3 linked regions of the Schizosaccharomyces pombe genome follow. The gene in region 2 interacts genetically with the main gene of each other region. Each region holds a gene or a part of one and is shown on either strand. Other genes may lie near its edges. The genes, in order: cdc7, pkd2 and cdc14.

Region 1 (3,757 bases), on a different chromosome or scaffold from region 2:
TTCCAATTTTTTTCAATAAATGTTTCTAAATCAACAACCAAGAAGTCTTCCGTCGTTATAAAGCCAAGTACAATTACTGCACCATGGTTAGAAAATGAATACTTAGACAGTAATACTAGCTTACTTTCCGTTCATTCAATTCAACCTTCGTTTATTGGAATGTCTGACTTCGCAATTGGATTAGATCCTTCACTGAAGCGTATATTACCCGAAATAAGATTTCGCTTAGACTTTCAGCATCTAAAATCAATAGCTAAAGGGGCCACCTCTACAATCAAGGTTGTAACTCACAGAGATAAAATCACCGACGCAAAGATATACTATGCTGCCAAAGTATATCGGAAAACGAAAACATCGCATAAAAAAAGATTGAATACAATGGTTTATTTTTTAAGGGAATGGTCAATCCAACCAAAATTGGACCATCCTAATATTCTGAAAGTTATCTGCCCTTGTGTGACTTTGACAAGCGTATTTAATAAATCCGCTGGGTTTTGTTTGGTTCAAGAGTACTGTCCTCAAGGCGATTTATTTAAGCAAATTGAAGAAAAAGTTTTGACCTTAGAAGACAAATGTTGTTATCTAAAGCAAATTCTTCAAGCAGTAGCTTACTTGCAATCTCAACGTATTGCGCACCGAGATTTAAAGCCGGAAAACATCTTAATCGGAAGGGATGGATTGTTAAAGCTCACCGATTTTGGTACCAGCGAAATTGTGGGTAATCCTGGTGATAACGAATCCATTCGTTTCGTATCGGGTGCTGTTGGAAGTTTGGCATATCTAGCACCAGAAGCATTTCATGAAAATGGTAAGTCTTATGTGTATAAATTGTGTAGCAAGACGAGCTCTATCCTATTTCAAAAACGACGTACTAATAGTTCAATTGATAGAATATTGTGGTCTTTTAGCAGATAGGTGGTCATGTGGTATTTTGCTTAAAGTTCTGTTTACTGGATACTTTCCATTTAAAACTTCCGTGAAAACTGATCTTTACTACTCAAAGTATATGTCAATCCTTACAGATACTTGTGGTATTTCTTCAACTGATGAATCCAGTTTCCAAACCGAAGTCATTAAACAAATACCTACATTGCAGCCCCTCAGATATATACCTGAAGGTGCTAAGAAGATTATACTAAGTTTACTGAATCCTGATTCCCAGAATCGGCCGTCGTTGGATAGTATTTTAGGTACTGCATGGGTACGGAAACTGGATTGTTGCAGTAACTTCTCTACCGATCATGAAAATAAGAGTTTACAGGAAGTTGATTTTGATGCTTCTAAACCCATTACAAGGAAAAGTTTGATTCCTCGGATTCATAACCATCAGACACTTGTTTAACGTAGTTTAAATCACTGTCTTTTCTACTTTACTTTCCAAGCTAAAATGAACTCATTCTTCCTATGTACATGGTGTTTCCACTGACATTACTTAACCAACGGATTAGTTCCATCCTTGCCAATATTTTTTATATGTCTGTATAATACGCTTTTTCTTTTATACGAGAATCTTTGTTTATTAATGATTTTATAAATAGCTTAATTATTACTATTTACTTCTTTTGAGTTTATAACATGCAAGTTCAGGTACCGTACTAAATGTGTATGTACACTATAAAGTCCTTACTTCTTCAAACGCAGCAAATGCTACATCGTAAACAAAACCAAATTGTCTTTTCATTCAAAATTACAAATAAATTCAATTTTTAATTTGTAACTTATTCAATAGTCATGCACAATATCCAAGCATCTTCCATCGTATGCTAGTATTTAATGTTAATAGCCATTGGATTTTCAATAACATATTCAGACTCTTGGGGATTGCTTGGGCAAGGGTGCCTTCGGTGCAGTATACCGTGGTCTAAATATAAAGAATGGAGAAACGGTGGCTGTAAAAAAAGTTAAACTATCCAAAATGCTAAAATCTGATCTTTCCGTCATTAAGGTATGAAGGGATCTCAACTATTTTTCTCTAACAATTTTTAGATGGAGATTGATTTGCTTAAAAATTTGGACGTATGTTACTCATTCGTTTATAATGGTCGCCAAATACTAAACGTGGTAGCATCCAAATATTGTTAAATATAGGGGATCTTATCAGACGAACGATTCTCTATGCATTATTCTGGAGTACGTGATTTTCTTTAAAAAATTGTTTTCAAGTTAACGATATATAGATATTGCGAAAACGGATCGTTGCGCTCAATTTGTAAAAACTTTGGAAAGATTCCAGAAAACCTAGTGGCCTTATATACGTTTCAAGTATTACAAGGGCTACTTTATCTACATAATCAGGGTGTTATCCATCGTGATATTAAGGGTGCCAATATACTTACTACTAAAGATGGCACTATCAAGTTAGCAGATTTCGGGGTTGCGACGAAAATTAATGCTTTAGAGGATCATAGTGTTGTTGGAAGCCCCTATTGGAGTAAGCCTTTTCTAAGCGTATAGTTATAACATTACTAACAATTTATATAGTGGCTCCCGAGGTTATAGAGCTTGTAGGCGCCACAACAGCCTCAGATATTTGGAGTGTTGGCTGCACAGTTATTGAACTGTTAGATGGAAATCCTCCCTATTATGATTTAGATCCTACGTCCGCTCTTTTTCGGATGGTGAAAGATGAACATCCTCCCTTGCCTTCAAATATTTCTTCGGCTGCTAAAAGTTTTTTAATGCAATGTTTCCAAAAGGACCCAAATTTACGAATTAAGACCAGAAAACTTCTTAAACATCCTTGGGTGATAATGAACCAAACCTCCTCTAAATTTTCTGACGCTATAGACGAGGTTCAAAAATATAATGAAAGAGTGAAAGAAAGCACTTTGACAGCTATTATCGAGCCTACTTCCAACAGAATCAATCCGACTCTTCATTCTGGCAGGCAGTCTTCTTATCACATGCCTGAGTCTCCAAAAACACCAATTGCCGAGTCCCCAGGTAGCTTTATGATACTTTTTAACTACTCTAACATTTTTAGATCATGATAACTGGGACAATGAATTTCAAGGAACCCTTAAAATCAGTGACGATGTTTTAAAGAAATCTGAGCATTTTATGGATTTTTGCAGTAACTTTAAAGGAAAAAATAATTCCAGCTCCATAACATCATCCCCTTCGAAGTCTCGCCATGCTTTTAATTCAGATCAAATCTCTGAATCAAACAACTTTAATGCATCACCGTTGAGTACTCCTCTCAAAGCCCAATTTGATCCCTCTAAGGTAAATAATGCAGCTCGATTTTCTAGAGCTTTTAATGATTTTAAATAAATAATTAACCTTTTTTTTAGCCCGCTCTCAACCGGTCAATAGATCATCAAAAAACTCCGCAACATAAAAGATACTTGTCAACTGGTAAGTATCTGATACTAACATATAACTAATTATCTAGAGTTTAAAGAGAATATACCAGACGGAATTGAAAAATTTGTCGAGACACCCAGAGATAGTGAATTTACTGATATTTTCCCTACATCCTCAATCAAAGTTCAAGGATTGAGAAAGGAGACTGGACTGGGGACTTTGGTTTTAAACAAATGTTATGGCTCGTGGAATAATGAAGAAAATGAGGATGGGGAAGAATCGGATATCTTTGACTCTATTGAAACAAACTTAGAAAACTTGGATATTGAAAACAACATTGCTTTAGATAAGAGAACGCATCTAGCTTCCTTACTTTCCAGTCTGTTAGGCTCACTACGTGACAAGAATATCGGATCGAAGGATACAACTGTTTCGCAAATAGTAAGTGCAT
Region 2 (3,757 bases):
CATTCAAAGAAACCTTGGCAGTTTTCAAATAACGAAGGAAACCGAGCTCAGAAGGAGCGAGGAACATAAGGGATTTACCAGTTCCCTTTGTTCCTCTAGCTGTACGACCTACACGATGAATATAATCTCGGGGGTCATCAGGAGGATCGTACTGCACGATCCAGTCAACGGCTGGAATATCTAACCCGCGTGCAGCAACATTGGTGCAAAGTAGTATTCCCTTTTCGGCATTGCAGAATTCAAAAAAGGTGTTTGTACGACGCTGTTGCTTTTGCTTGCCATGAAGATCAAGTACTGGTAAATCTATATAGTTCAGTAATTCTGCCATATATTTGACAGAAGCACAAGATGACATGAAAACAATAACTTTTTTCTTCAAATTGCGTTTTAAGAAGGAAAATAAAAGAAGAAACCGTTTGTCAGAATCAACTACAACATAACCTTGCTCCAATCCTTCAACGGTAGAGGTAGGCTTACCAGAATCAACGTTAACATACAAGGGTCCGGGCTTAAGAGAGATACGAGCAAGATCTTCAACTTTAGTTGTCTGTGTAGCAGAAAACAGGAGGGTTTGTCGATTTTCCGAGGGAAGGATTTTCATGATTTGTCTCATTTCGTCCTCAAAACCAATCTCCAAAATTCTGTCGGCTTCGTCAATCACTAAGGATCGTAAATTGCGGAATACAAATCCTTTGGTATTTTGCAAGTGATCCAGTAAACGACCAGGAGTAGCAACTAATAGGTTAACACCTTTCACCAATTTATCAGCTTCAGCACGGCGATTAGCACCGCCAATGACGATACCAAATGTTTGGTGATGGTATTTCAACAACTCCTTTGCGACACCAAAAATTTGAAGAGCCAATTCACGAGTAGGAGATATAATAATAACACCAGTACCATTACGAGGCTTAAATTTCAATGCATAAAGCATTTCAATGGTAGGAATTAGAAAAGCCAAAGTTTTACCACTACCAGTTTTAGCTGCACCTAAAACATCACGACCGGCCAAAAGAGGAGGAATAGAGCGCTTTTGAATTTCTGTCATCGTTTCAAAGCCCATTTCTTTAATTGCCTTTTGGATGTTTTCAGAGAGTTGTAGGTCTGAAAACTTTTCAATATCCGAAGTGGAAGAAGCGTTCAGGTTGACAGATTTTTGAACACGCTCATCTTCATTTTCATTATCTAATTCCTCACTTTCTGATTCTACTGAAGTATTTTGGTCAGCATCTTCATTTTCCTCTTCCTGCTCGTAATCGTCTTCGTCTTGAGGAAGTTCTTCAGCAATTTTTTTATCGTTTTTTAAAGGTTTTTGACGTTTTTCTTTTACTTCCTCATTACCCGATTGATGCTTTTTCCGCTTTAACTCGGATTTAGCCATCTTGTACAACGAATGCAGACTACTAATGAGTTTGGGAATTTGCAAAATGCTTGTATGAAAAATGGAAAAGTGGAAAACTGCGAAATGTATACCGCCGTAACGCAACGTGTCAAATCTATGCAGCAAAGTAAATAGCAATATTTAACGATATTCTTTTCATTCAACTTTCAAATGTTAAACAATTATAGTGTTCAAATTCGATTGAAATTCCTAATCTAAAGTTAGTGTCTTTTAATAAACATTTCGCTATCTATACTGCGTACTATGTCACATTAGGCTTAGTTTTACATTATGATATTTTAAAGTAGCTGTGGTGAATTTCTTTATGAAAGAAGTTTTGCTAAAATGACTTTTGTTAATACGTTACGAGTTGATTAAGCGTCAATTGACACTGTAGAATATAAAAATTATCTTATAAAAAAAAAAGAAAGGTCTATCGTACTATTAAATCCTCAATTACCAGTTATTTACTGGTTAGTGTGCTGGTAGTTTTCCATGTTAAATGGCTGTGATCTAAGGTAACAGGTACCGGGATTTGTCTCTAGTCATCACTTGTCTTGAACGGGTTGAGAATCTTTGATGATAATACAGCCACCCAGAGCAAACTATATTTTTGTTAATCATTCCCATTGTTATATATCCCTCGATTTAATTGGAATTAATAAGTTTTCAAATCTAACTTAATTTAAGAATAATAATAACTGGTTGTGGAGAATTTTAGCTACATTTGAGACTCAGTTACATTGGAATTCACAGTCTGTCTTTTCTATTCATTAATATCATCTTTTGACTTCACCTTCCTGTTTTTCCATTAATCAACTGTTTCTCACTACCATCAACTGCAAAATGAGGCTTTGGAGAAGCCCACTTTTACTCTTAGTTGTGGTCGTCGAGCTATTTTCATGGGCTGATGCTTTAACCAGATTCATTTCCGCCGACTCTCTGTCCACATGTATGACTGATTCACAGTTATCAGCAAGTAAGCTCTATGCCTCGTATTTTCCGGACAATCAATCTGTTGCCTTTGATATCTCGATACAATCTCTTGTTTCTACGAATGTCAGTATAGACGTCGACATTAGTGCATACGGAATCGAAATAAAGAAGGTGATAGATCCTTGCGATATGGAAATTTCTGGCTTCTGTCCAATGCAGACTGGAAATATTGCTTTATCTGGTAGTCATACTTTAACCGGAGAGGCTCTTTCTATTCTTGATAGTATTCCCTCCATTGCATACACAGTTCCGGATTTAGATGCTGTTGTGACTATTAATATTTATGAATCAGATACAAACACACAATTAGCTTGTGTTCGTACTACAGTGCAAAATGGTCGTTCTGTTTACCACAGAGCTGTTTACTGGGTTATGTGTATGGTAATCGGTATCCCACTTTTAATTTTCTTACTGATATCCCCTGTTCTTCAAACACCCGCACTTTGGGAAATCGTTGAAACGATGATTACCTTATTTCAGTTTGCTCAAATCCAGGCTTTGTATTCCATGATGGCTACTTCTCTTCCTGCTATCATTTACAGTTGGGGCCGTAATTTCATGTGGTCGATGGGTATTATCAGGATTGGCTTCATGCAAGATGTTTTTACATGGTACGTTAAATCAACTGGCGGCACGCCATCTACTCTTGTAGATTTGGGTATACATGCTAATGTCGCCCTCGCAAAACGTGGTATTGATTTGGGCTCTCTCGCCAAGCGTGCAACTACTACTGTCACCACTAGCACAAGTGATTCTATTACCCTGAGGGGAATCAAGCGTATTTCATATATGATGGGGATTGAAACGACGAATTTCTTTGCTACTGGGTTTTCCTTTTTTATTATATTGTTGTTCTTTTCATTACTAGTTGCTATGGCTTCTAGATTTATTGTTGAAATGGTGCTCCTTGCATCCAGAAATCAAGCTTTGAAAAAGCAACGTATCCGTCTTTATTGGAAATCTATATCCAAAGGATTTTTCTATCGTGTGATTTTTGTCGGATTCACTCAAATGAGTGTTTTGTCCATGTGGGAAATCTATACTCGTGATTCTTCCGCTTTGGCATTTTTATCAATGTACGTGATTGTGGACATGGCAGTTTTGCTCTGCTATGCATTTGTGCGGACAATTCAAATTATCCGCAAAACAGGACCTTATTCCCATCCTGACGTCTTGTACAACCTATATTCTGACACTCAACACTTGATGCGTTGGGGCTTTATGTACGTGCAATTAGACGTCCGTTTCTTTTACTTTACTTTCCCACTGTTGCTTATAACCTTGGTACGCTCAATGTTCATCGGTTTTGGTCAGGGCTCACCCAAAGTCCAGGGCTGTGCCATGTTTGGTATTAGCGTTGTCGTTTTTGCTCTTATGGTG
Region 3 (3,757 bases), on a different chromosome or scaffold from region 2:
ATGTAGTACTGTTTTACCCCTTGAATTCTCTGTACCTGATGTTCAACCACGACTTTATACAAACTCAAGTACAAACCCCGATGTTTTATACATGTCTAGTCAACATCCACATACTCAGCAACGATATTCTACCCTTAAGCGATTAATGGTTCGCTGCTTGAGCTGTGAATATTCAACACTATCTGAAGCTTCCGATTCTATGTCAAATCCTTTGTTCTTTGGAGACCAAGATAACGGTTACGTTATTAGTCAGTCTTTTTCTTTAAGAGATCCCTCTGCCCGGGGAGGACTTCGAAGATATGCGATTATTGCTACTTGTCCAAATCAGTTAGATTTGATTTTGCGATATAGTTTTATTTCTGAAAAGTTTCTTCATATAGTCCAGTTTCTAAGGATTTCTTCTTTCAATACAAAGAATGACTACTCCTCCTCCCGTTCAAAAACAACAGCCTCCTCTAGCAATGGAACGTTTGCATCCCCCAGTTTTAACATTTCTTCGTTATCGGGTTCTTCAAATATAGGAACTGCTCCTTCGTATGAGATATCCTCTAGTATCGGTGCAAATGTGTCATCTTTGGCCCACACACAAAGACTTCCTTCTTTCAGTTTTTTGCGTCGTCGAGACGATATTGGGGAGGGACGCAGTTTAGTTGATATCACATGTTGGGACGGAATCTTTGTCGGTCTTCACAGTTCGTTTAGCTGGATTCTGGAGGTTTGGGATCTCTTAGTAGTATGAAAGTAAAACTGGTTGACTTTTTACAAATGCTATAGGATGCTGGAATACTTTCAATAGTAAGATGATCGATTAATAATTTAACATTAACATTAGAAATTCTTTAGTAAATGAATACTAAATTTTCAAAAATAAGTTAACAATGAGACTTTAAACATTTTTTTGCACCAGGCATTGCATCTAACTAGTCGAATGTTTCGTCTAACTTGCCAAATGGTTGAAACTTATCTAAATCATCTCGAAGCCCTTGTACGTTAGAAAGATATTTGGATAGGTAAGCTTGTTTCTCAGTCCGCGTTTTCCTGTAGGCAATGACATCTATAGAATATGGTTCAGGGGATAAATAGAAATAGAAAAATTCGAGAATTTGAAATCGGGTGTCCTGACTTGTTTGTTTGTGCTTAAAAACTACGCATATCTGCTGCAAGCCATTAATCTGCTCAAAAAGCCTAATAGCCAGTGGACGATCTGCCATGATACATACAAGCGTTTTCATTGCAGCCACTTGCAACATAGATGGCTGAGATGGCTGTAATAAATGAATAAATAACCTTAAGGTAGCTTTATCTTCAAATAACGTCTGTGATTTTGGATGGATTAAAACCAATCCTTCAATCACATGCAGTAAGTCATCAATTAGCTTTTGAATGAATTGAAAGTTTTTTTCGTATGCCTCTTCATTCTGCTGATATTCAAGGAGACTGTCCAAAGCGTAAATGCAAGGGGTAGTAGAATTATACAATGGTGAATCCTGTAATTTTAGGAAAATTTCTCTTGGAATTTTATCATCATGACTAGGTTTCGCAACATGATATACAATAGATTCGACTTGACGCAAACCAATTCGAATTAGCTTTGGATTCCTCATACACAAATGCTGTTTAGCATTGTTTAATAGATCTTCCATACCGGATCATTATTTACTCATGCCAAGCGGGCAATAAAAATCCTTATTATAAATAAAAGTAAATTGAATCTTCGTTTAGTTAAAGATAAAAAAGAGACTCTATATTCGTTCTTAGTAATGATATAAATAGTAGGGTGGAGTGTTGAAGCAGCTACATTAAATTGCTATTTTCTAAAACTTGAGGTTTTGGGAGAGAAAACACCAGCTTGCTAAGATAGGATACAATTGAATATTAACAGGCGAATTGGAGCCATATTTGAAAAAGGGGCCTAAAATAACAAAACAAGCAACATCGAGTCCTTATAGATTTATATTTAGTTTACGATCAAATCCGCCTAATTTAATTATATTAATATCAATGGGTTTAGTTTGTCTCAAACGGTTGACATGAAAAAATTTAGATATTAAATTAAACAATAGTTATGTATTAATCGTAAAATTATCAAATAACAAAAACTGCAGTTAATTTTGAGCTATTTAAAACAATATAAGATTACACGAAGCTTCGAAGAAGCTATGAAATAAAACAATTAGAATGCACTAATTAACAGTTTCGATGGAGAAATAACACATGAAGTGCATACAAAATGCAAGGAAATTAACTAGAGACACCATTCACGGAAAAGTATAGAGGCTTTTCCTAGAGTGCGAATGAAAGTAGAGAAATGAGACAGAAAAGATTATGAAGATAGTTAAGGAAAAATTCATCTAAAACATAAGTGACTGTAGATTGTTGGACATAATCGTATCTTGAACGGATACCATTACCCTTTGGAGCAAACTAGTGTCTGTAGCTGTGGTAAAATGGCAATAGCAACTACGAGAAGCGATGCGATTAAGACTTTCAAACTTTAAGTAAAAGTAATACATACCGCTTCGAACTGCGTTGTCGGCAAGAGGGCATTGAGTTTGTACGAATGTTGGTGTTGAACCAACTTCTTGGTAATCAGGAAAATGCTTCTGGATGGGGGAAATGTGAACCTTTCTTTTAAATAAATCAAGTTTATTTAGAAAAAGTATCATTGCTGATTCTGAAAACCAGCTAGAGTTACATATGGAATCCCATAATAATAACGCCTCCTGCATCTGATTTCCTGAATTGTCCTCTACAAGGCATTGATCGTAACCTGCCAAAGAAACGAGAAACAACAATGCAGTGACATTTTCAAAGCAATGAATCCATTTTCTGCGCTCTGATCTCTGTCCTCCTACATCAAAAAATCGGTAATGATGACGATTTAACAGAAATGTTTCTTCTGATATACCGGTCGTCTTGATACGACAGTGAAGGATATCTTGATCAGAAGGTATATATTGTGGGTCAAAAATTCGATCAATGTGATCTTGATAGTAATAAAAATTGTCTAACAAAGAGAGGTTGGTACCACAACTTTGCACCGTACGAAGTTTGGTATCCAATGTCAAGGCATGAACAGCTTCATATATTTCTGGAGAAAATGGCTCATTGGGTTGAGAAGTGTGTTTTCTTAGGATAACTGCCCGATACTTCTCATTTTCCGGAAGTAAAGAGACATTACTATTATCCATAGCTTCAAGAAGAAGACATAGAGAGGAGATGATATTTTCAAAAATCATCACTCGATACTGCTTTCTAACTACTTGACTAAAACCGGGGCTATACAATAATCTCATCTGCTTCATAATGGTCGTTTTCCCACTATCACCGGCGCCTAAGAGCAAAACTTTAATGTCATTTCCACCTGAAGTAGAATTTCCTTTTACGCGTACTCCAGAACTTTCCACATTTTGTGGTTTTCCACGCAGGACGATATTAAGCCAGTTTTCAAGGACTGGAACTCGAGCGTTTTGACTTCCAGTTGTAGAGCTGTTTGAGGTTTGCGTATCTGAAAGCTTCTTTTGAATGACTTCTCCTCCTGATGTATCAGCGTATTTACTCGACATGCATCCCATGGTGAAAAGGCAGCTACAGATTCCAAATCCCCACAAGGAGATAATTCAAAGTCGAGACAAAGAAAGTTAATCTCCGCAATTTTCTGTAAAAACAGCAGAAAAGGTGATAAATAAGGATTTTTGGATTAAAAAAGAAATAATAGATGTCGTTAAATCTCAAATATTTGTGAAGTGGACCCAAC

What was found.
Region 1: of pkd2 (region 2) and cdc7, changing one suppresses a phenotype caused by changing the other (phenotypic suppression), as found in Schizosaccharomyces pombe (one study listed by BioGRID).
Region 3: of pkd2 (region 2) and cdc14, changing one suppresses a phenotype caused by changing the other (phenotypic suppression), as found in Schizosaccharomyces pombe (one study listed by BioGRID).

What each region holds. Positions count from the first base shown.
Region 1 is NC_003423.3:3,224,405-3,228,161, reverse strand, and holds the start of cdc7 (serine/threonine protein kinase SIN pathway Cdc7), read left to right. Parts: upstream 1-1,656; 5' UTR 1,657-1,731; coding exon 1,732-1,758; exon of another isoform or gene 1,759-1,810; coding exon 1,811-1,945; exon of another isoform or gene 1,946-1,986; coding exon 1,987-2,016; exon of another isoform or gene 2,017-2,065; coding exon 2,066-2,130; exon of another isoform or gene 2,131-2,177; coding exon 2,178-2,431; intron 2,432-2,481; coding exon 2,482-2,943; intron 2,944-2,983; coding exon 2,984-3,225; intron 3,226-3,293; coding exon 3,294-3,357; intron 3,358-3,394; coding exon 3,395-3,747; intron 3,748-3,757. Other genes in the region: serine/threonine protein kinase Ppk24, read left to right, coding at 1-808, 891-1,342. UniProt on the Schizosaccharomyces pombe protein: Protein kinase essential for cell division. Plays a key role in initiation of septum formation and cytokinesis.
Region 2 is NC_003424.3:4,217,774-4,221,530, forward strand, and holds the start of pkd2 (plasma membrane TRP-like calcium ion channel Pkd2), read left to right. Parts: upstream 1-1,977; 5' UTR 1,978-2,227; coding exon 2,228-3,757. Other genes in the region: ATP-dependent RNA helicase Has1, read right to left, coding at 1-1,381. UniProt on the Schizosaccharomyces pombe protein: Acts as a key signaling component in the regulation of cell shape and cell wall synthesis through interaction with GTPase Rho1.
Region 3 is NC_003423.3:2,330,156-2,333,912, reverse strand, and holds the start of cdc14 (SIN component Cdc14), read right to left. Parts: upstream 1,788-3,757; 5' UTR 1,644-1,787; coding exon 921-1,643; 3' UTR 740-920; coding exon of another isoform or gene 1-739. Other genes in the region: folliculin bhd1, read left to right, coding at 1-739; gpa1 (G-protein alpha subunit), read right to left, coding at 2,352-3,575. UniProt on the Schizosaccharomyces pombe protein: Has a role in the septation initiation network (SIN) required for cytokinesis.